Callithrix jacchus: one gene and its partner. Each later gene encodes a partner of the first gene's protein in a complex. Links are inferred from orthologs where the notes say so. Each region holds a gene or a part of one and is shown on either strand. Other genes may lie near its edges.

Region 1 (3,815 bases):
ATTCATGAGGGATCCACCCCAGAACCAAAACATCATCCATGTGGGCCCACTTCCAACATTGGGGACCAAATTTCAGCATGAGGTTTGTGGGGGGACAAACAGGGGTTAATAAAAATACCTTAACTACTAGGGTCTTTTCTTTTTTTTTGAGACGGAGTTTCGCTCTTGTTACCCAGGTTGGAGTGCAATGGCGCAATCTTGGCTCACTGCAACCTCCACCTCCTGGGTTCAGGCAATTCTCCTGCCTCAGCCTCCCGAGTAGCTGGGATTACACGCACACGCCACCATGCCCAGCTAATTTTTTGTACTTTTAGTAGAGACGGGGTTTCACATGTTGACCAGGATGGTCTTGATCTCTTGACCTTGTGATCCACCCGCCTCGGCCTCCCAAAGTGCTGGGATTACAGGCTTGAGCCACCGCGCCCGGCCTACTAGGGTCTTTTCTAGCAGCACTTTCTCTTCTAGTTTCTAGGCAAGATTGTTCTTTTGTTGACTTGGATAATAACTAGAGTGTTGCAGTTGGTTAATTTTGAATTCAGGCAAAGTTTGCTTTGTTTCATGATCATGGAGCATGTATGCAGGGTTAGCCCACCCTCTGCAAAGCACAGGGCTGGTCTCAGATTCAGCACATCTTTTAACTGCTCATGCCAGCTGGTCTCATTGTCTGTTGTGAAAACCAAATGTGGTCATAAACGAGAGCTGCTGAGCAGGACCTGACACTCTGAGTACGCTGGCAGCAGTCCCTGCTATAAAGATAGTTAGACGCGGCTTTGGGGTCTGCAGAGTGTCTGTTGGCCCACATCAGGGCCTGTCGCCTTTTTACTCCATGCTGACTTGCAGTTTGCTCTCATCCTTTCATTCTGGTCCTCTAGGGCAGCTGTGCAGGTTGAGCTGTGGGCCTCTACAGGAGCACCAGGCTGAGGGCAGCCTGAGATGGATTTTTTTTTTTTTTTTTGGCAGTCTTTCCTCCTCTCCCGAGGTGGATTTCTAAGAGCCCAGTGCCTCCTCTTGCTCCTGGCCCTCTCTTCCTGGCTTCTTCCCTCCTGAGCTCTGCAGATTGGGTGCTGCCTCCTTGCCTGAGCTGTGGGGTATGAACATGGTGCAGGACATCTTGATCTGCTCAGGATCCTGACTTTTGTCTTATGGGCAGTCTTGCTTCCTGAGGCAGAAGGATCATTTTAGCCGAGGAGTTCAAGACCAGCCTGGGCATCATGGTGAGACCTCATCTCTCCAAAACATAAGGCGGGACGATCACTTGAGTGCAAGAGGTTGAGGCTGCATTGGGCCCAGATAGCGCTACTGCACTCCTGCCTCAGTGACAGAGAGACCCTCCCTCAAACAAACAAACAAACAAAAAGACTGCGAATCGTAAACAGCTATTGAGCCTATGACAGCCTATGGGCATTTCCTGTTATGGATGCTGGCACAGGTCTGACCTTGATGACAGTCTGTCCTCCCTGGGGAAGGACACAGTTCCACAACTGTTGCGGTCTATGCTTCTTGCCACAAAGGTACCAGAGTAGAACTGGGGTTGTTCCTTGTCCTGGCCCTTGGAGGGCTAGGAGGTTCTTGTGTGCAAGTGACCCAGGTCCCTGAAGGAAGCACTTGAAGAGGAGGACCTCTGCCTGGTACCCACTCCGTCTCCCCCTCAGTCATACCTGACTGGGGTACCTTTCAGAACAAGCCTCCTGCTCCCCCTCCCACCTTCTGGCTGAACAGGCAGTCGGTACTCTTGATTCAGCCAGGCCTGGTTAGAAACTCCCTTGCCTGTGTGTTTCTGTATGGAATAGATGGCCTACTGCCAGCACATTGGGGTGGAGTTCATGTTCATCAATGACCTGGAGCAGTGCCAGTGGATCCGGCAGAAGTTTGAGACCCCCGGGATCATGCAGTTCACAAATGAGGAGAAGCGGACCCTGCTGGCCAGGCTTGTGCGGTCCACCAGGTATGGGTCTGGCCCTGGGCCATGGGGCACACATCCCCAGGGAAGCAGCAGCCCTGTGTGTGTTGTTTGGGCCTGTGTGCAGCCTGTTGGTCGAGGTGAGAGGGGCTTTGGGGAGGTATAGGCAAAGCTGCAGCTGCACGTGTCTGAAGAGACACCAGGCAGGTAGAGTCAGCCTTCAGAGCAACCTCCGTCTCCTGAGTTCAAGCGATTCTCTTGCCTCAGCCTCCCAGTAGCAGTGATTGTAGGCACATGCCACTACGGCCAGCTAATTTTTATCCATTTAAGTAGAGATCAGGTTTCTCTATGTTGGCCAGGCTGGTCTCAAATTCCTGACCTCATGTGATCTGTCCACCTTGGCCTCCCAAAGTGCTAGCATTACTCCCAAAGTGCAGTGAGCCACTGTGCCTGGCCCAGAGCCCCCTCTTTTTGGTCAGGAAGAGTGACATTGTTCTTCAAGGTGACTTTATTCCATGTCCAGGTTTGAGGAGTTCCTACAGCGGAAGTGGTCCTCTGAGAAGCGCTTTGGTCTAGAAGGCTGTGAGGTGCTGATTCCTGCCCTCAAGACCATCATTGACAAGTCAAGTGAGAACGGTGTGGACTACGTGATCATGGGCATGCCACACAGGTATGGCTGAGGGCGTGCCCCACCTCCTTCTCACCATCCCTGCAGGGTGTGTAGGAGGCACCAGGTAAAGAACTGAGAGAACAGCTGTTTCCTTCTCAAGTGCCAGTTGTGAGCCTGGGCTCATCTGATACCTGCGGGTGCCTTGTTTTGCAGGGGATTCTCACATTCCCTACCTCTGGAAGACTGCAAAGTCACTGTCACAGCCAGAGCCACGTGTAGTTTCAGACTGGCATTTGGCCTTACATTACATTTTTATGAAAGTTAAACCCAGGTTCCCTTGAGGGTTAAGCTGGAGGAAAGGCTGCTTCCTGACATTGGAGGGGAGGCCAAGACTTCAAAAATCGGAGATAGTGTGGGGAGGGAGGAGGGTAAGGAAGCCTCAGGCCCATGGCATTTCCACATCTTCTGCCTTTCTGTTGTCCACTGTGGCCTTGATTGTCTAGCACAGAGAGGCTCAGTGCCCACATTAGCTCCAGTTCACAGCATTCTTGGGCTGCAAACCGAGGAGGTGCTGTGTCCTGGAGGAGGGGAAGAGGGTAGGGATTATAACAGCCTCCCCGTCATCTGGAAGCCGTGACCTCGGGCTCTGCTCACTCTACTCGCCCATACGTTTCAGAGGGCGGCTTAACGTGCTTGCAAATGTCATCAGGAAGGAGCTGGAACAGATCTTCTGTCAATTTGATTCAAAGCTGGAGGCAGCTGATGAGGTGAGGCACCTGTGTAGAGACACATCCAGCAGAGCCCCAACTTACACGAGACCCCCGGCTCCACTTCTTTCTCAGAATAACTTATGAGGGGTTGATTCTTCTGTACCATTGTGGTTTGCCTTCCTTGTTGGAAGAATTTTAGTGTTGGAACAAAGGAGGGGGCCACTGTTCCACCTTCTGGTTGGAGGTCTAGCAGCGCCACGCTGAGTGCAGGGGTATATCCCCTCTGGCTGAGGGACCTTCTCCCTGTGCCCTGGGTAGGAATGATCCTGGGAAAAAGCCTCCATATTCTTCTACGTTGGGTTCCTGGGGTTAGAAATCACATATAAGGCTAGGCACAGTGGCTCACGCCTGTAATCCCAGCACTTTGGGAGGCTGAGGCAGGCTGATCACCTAAGGTTGTGAGTTCCAGACCAGCCTGACCAACGTGGAGAAACCCTGTCTCTACTAAAACACAAAATTAATCAGCATGGTGGCACATGCCTGTAATCTCAGCTACTTCGGAGACTGAGGTAGGAGAATTGCTTGAACCTGGGAG
Region 2 (3,815 bases), on another chromosome or scaffold:
TGCATGTAATGCCAGCTACTTGGGAGGCTGAGGCAGGAGACTCACTTGAACCTGGGAGACAGAAGTTGCAGTGAGCCAAGATCGTGCCACTGCACTCCAGCCTGGGTAACAGAGTGAGACTCCGTCTCAGAAAAAAAAAAAAAATTAATCTCCTGCAGACTGCAGAGGCATCCAAGGATGAGGAGAGGCTGATACAAGTTATTTTTCTGTTGAGAGGACAGCCCTGGGGAACCTTACCAAGGGCTGCCTTCTCAGGACTAGATGCTTCTCTAAGATTATACCCTAGAAGAACTGATGGATTCTCCTGATAGAAAGCTTGTGACCCATGAGTCTGGGAAACTCGGGGATGAGGCTGTAGGCTTCTCCTGAAAGCAATGAGAATGAGAGTCTTGCCCAGATTTTAAAGATGTGCTGTTGGAGAACTATGCAGCAACAAGGTCACACTGCAAGGCTTTTCATTTCTAGGCCTAGTTGTTAGTATCGCTTTTCCTGACAAGTGAAAAATCCCTTTACAGAAAAAGTTCCTCATCCCCTGCTATTGATAGAAGTTTAAGAGCTCTTCCTGTCTCATCCTGCAGAGATTAGAAGCAGGCCCAGCTGGGGCATTTTCAGAACCATCAGTCCTGACTTTCGTCTGTCTTTCTTAAGTCTCTAAGCAGCACTGCGTAGGGAAGGAATCTTACAAAAAAGCAAGCAGCACTTGAGAAGTGATCAGGGTATTGTTAGAGGAAGGGATTTCGTATTATAGGCCAGGATAACTAACTGCTATGACCATTTCTGTTTTTTACTGTCTAGTTTATGGAAATTTTATAGTACCTACTTTTCTATGCAGAGTTTAAGGGTGGTTAAATATAAACTATTTGGACATCTTAAACCAAGGAAGTATTTAAAATAGACCGGTTCATGGACATGACCATGGCAGTTTTGCTTGACTCACTTTGTTAAATGGACTTGCTGAGTAACTCACGTGTTGGTCTAGATGTAGCACATTGAATTCACCTACCAAAGCACCATATCCCTAGGCACTTGCCACCTGTGGGAGAAAGTATTTGAGACTCTGAGTTCTGCCTAGAGTCGTATACTTTGTAGACCTGAACTGAAGCACCTGATGGAATAAAAGGGTTGTAACCTCAGGCAGAGGAAGGGAACAGACAGGGGGCTGGTAAGATAGGAGAGTCAGAGTGAAGAGCTCCTGTCCTCAGGATCCTGGTTTGCTGTGAGCCTGCCGTTTATCTGGGAAATCTTTAGATGGCATTACTGCCCAAGAGTAAAACTTTAGGTGGCTCCTAACGCTAGAGGTTTTATATTTGTTTTCTGCTTTCGTCAGTCACTAACAGCTTCTAGGTAAGGCAATATAAGAGCTTTTTAAATTTTATGTTATTTTTAGCCCTTTACTGCTAAAAAGATGAACAAATACTTCTAGAGATTCACATGGCAGTAACTCAAAAGATTTAATGCATGATGACTTTCAGCATGCCTTCCAAATGTTTAATTTGGCCTTTGTGGGTGGCATTTTCAGTGTTGTGAGTGCAGTTATAGCCCCAGTATGTAAGACTATGTTTACATTGTGTGTTAATTTATTTGGTTGTAGCTTATGGCAATATTTTTATTCTCTATATAATAGGTTAAAGGTTATTGAAAATGAATTGATACAGGCATCAACAAAGAAATTTTCTCTGGAGAAGTTATATAAAGAGCCCAGCATTTCTAGTATGCAAATGGTGGATTGTTGTAAGAGACTTCTAGAACAATCACTGCCTTACCTACATGGGATGCACCTCTGTGTTTCACATTTTTACTCTGTTATGCAAGATGGAGACCTTTGTATTCCTTGGAATTGGAAGAATGGAGAAGCCATTAAATAACACAGAAATCTGTTTTATTTTTTTAAGAGATAAGAAAGGAACTTAAATTAAAAATGTTTAAATCCACAATTTGATATAACAGTATTATTTACATATTATAAGAACAAAGTTTCTCACTGCTGCTTTAAAAGTAGACTTTTAAAATAAATTAATTTCTGCTAGGAAATGTATTTTAAAAAGGTTTTATAAGCCAGGCTTGGTGGCTCATGCCTGTGGTCCCAATTACTTAGGGAGGCTAAGATAGGAGGATCACTTGAGCCCAGGATGCCAAGGCTACAGTGAGCCACTGCCCTCCAGCCTGAGCGACAGAGCAAGACCCTGTCTCAAAAGATAATAATAATTTTAAATAAATAATAAAAATATTTTATATTCCAGTCTTATGATGTTGATTGGCAAGGCTAGATAAAAAGATGTTAGAATGAAATAACATATTTTTAGTGATAGGTAAGTGAAAGATTCTACAATAGTCATATATTTTTATATGAATGAATGTTGGGTTAGGGCTGGACAGGTATACGTGTGTAAATATAAACAGGTCTCAGAGTCAGAGGATAGCTCTGAAATAATAGAACTCATGTCTACAATTCAACATGCACCGGTATAGTTACACCTCATGTATATACACACACATGTATTTTGCAGCCAGTAATTGACAGTTAATGTCCAAAACAGGTGATTCATAGGTAGCAAAAAATAGATAACCACAAATTTGCCAAGAGAAAGACTAGAAGGACTGAAAGCGGTTGAATATATGGTACTGACATTGTCATACGCAGTCTGATAACCAGTTTATTAAAACATCTTCAGTGACAGAGAATTTAATTTGAAACCCATAATTTCTCCTATCCATTAAAATATTTCAACTGTTGGTAGTATGAAACCAACAGGAAATGTTTTTGAATCATTTAACGAGGTGACCCATTTGTTTCATGGCTCACACCATCCATGAACATTCTTGCTTGTTTCCCAAAGAGCTCTAGGAAATAGAATCAAGTGTAAAATGGTTCACACCATTCAGGATTTCTTGTCACCCTTCTCAGCCATGATCTTACTGTTCTTGCTGATGTTTGAAGCCCTTTCATCAGCCCCGGCACGGTTAAAGCCCCTCAGAGTCACCTTCCATTCATAGCAATGTAATTTAACCCCAAGTGGTTGATGGTGACTCTGGCATGGCCGAGAGACCTGATCTCTGGATTCAGTGTTTTTAGCTGAGATTTATTCTAAGATTCCTTTTGGCAATATCTTTAACCAATCCAAAAGCTCTTCAGATCATTTCGGAAGAGGACAAGGTGAATCCTGGTTTGGAACACCATTTTGGGCTCTTGCTGCTGAATGAATCAGAAAGGAATTTTTTCTAAAGAGCATTAGAAAGTAAAGGAGATATTAAAATCAGTTCTTGAAGTATGTTTTATATTTATCTAAAACACTGATTATTTTAAAAGTTTACATTCAAATATGTATTTAAAAGAAGCACTGATTTGTAATTATTCTAGTTTGTACGTCATCCCTTTTAACCGTGCGTAACAACTACACTTCAGTTTTGTTTTCTAGTGTAACAAATGTCTCCTGTGAAGATTTTCCAGAGCCAAATAATGATAGTGAAAAATTCCTTAAATGTTATGTAAGAAAATGTATTGGAAAATCAGGTTTGTGTTGTAGCATTTCTAAAATACACTAATATAGAATCCTCAGTAATATGTTTTGAATTGGATTTTGTCTCAGAACTATTACATAATAAATAATATCTACATCAACCAGATAATTTTTTTCTTGTTACCCAACTATTAGTAGTTTTAGAAATATTCCAGTGTAACAGGAAATTAGAAGAAATTGGTACTTGTATATGCCTATTTGAGCATATATACAGATCTGAGCAGGCAGACTTCCTCTCCCACTCTAACATGAAAGAAAAATTCTGTCCCCCACTGAAAGCTGGCACAGGAGCAGACC

What was found.
Region 2: the proteins of OGDH (region 1) and TCAIM are in contact, whole or in part, in a cryo-EM structure (PDB 8I0K), measured with the Homo sapiens proteins. The link is inferred for Callithrix jacchus from reciprocal best matches to the Homo sapiens genes OGDH and TCAIM. Residues at the interface, in NP_001425937.1 of Homo sapiens: Gly301, Tyr304, Arg323, Tyr354, Arg356, Ile358, Arg364, Asn365, Lys387, Glu391, Tyr394, Cys395, Gly396, Thr398, Glu399, Lys401, Lys402, Lys561, Met602, Pro605, Glu667, Gly668, Ile669, Asn709, Met734, Ala735, Ser736, Pro737, Asn738, Gln772; in NP_001269842.1 of Homo sapiens: Glu214, Gln234, Arg235, Ser236, Trp237, Gly238, His241, Ser244, His247, Ser248, Arg251, Gln255, Asp272, Arg273, Thr286, Met287, Asp288, Val289, His290, His291, Glu331, Leu332, Gln333, Pro334, Val335, Arg375, Tyr376, Glu441, Ser443, His473.

Annotation. Positions count from the first base shown.
Region 1 is NC_133512.1:12,758,579-12,762,393, forward strand, and holds part of OGDH (2-oxoglutarate dehydrogenase complex component E1), read left to right. Parts: intron 1-1,790; coding exon 1,791-1,945; intron 1,946-2,423; coding exon 2,424-2,570; intron 2,571-3,186; coding exon 3,187-3,277; intron 3,278-3,815. UniProt on the Homo sapiens protein: 2-oxoglutarate dehydrogenase (E1o) component of the 2-oxoglutarate dehydrogenase complex (OGDHC). Participates in the first step, rate limiting for the overall conversion of 2-oxoglutarate to succinyl-CoA and CO(2) catalyzed by the whole OGDHC.
Region 2 is NC_133516.1:27,216,380-27,220,194, forward strand, and holds the end of TCAIM (T-cell activation inhibitor, mitochondrial), read left to right. Parts: intron 1-1,624; coding exon 1,625-1,865; 3' UTR 1,866-3,619; downstream 3,620-3,815. UniProt on the Homo sapiens protein: May regulate T-cell apoptosis.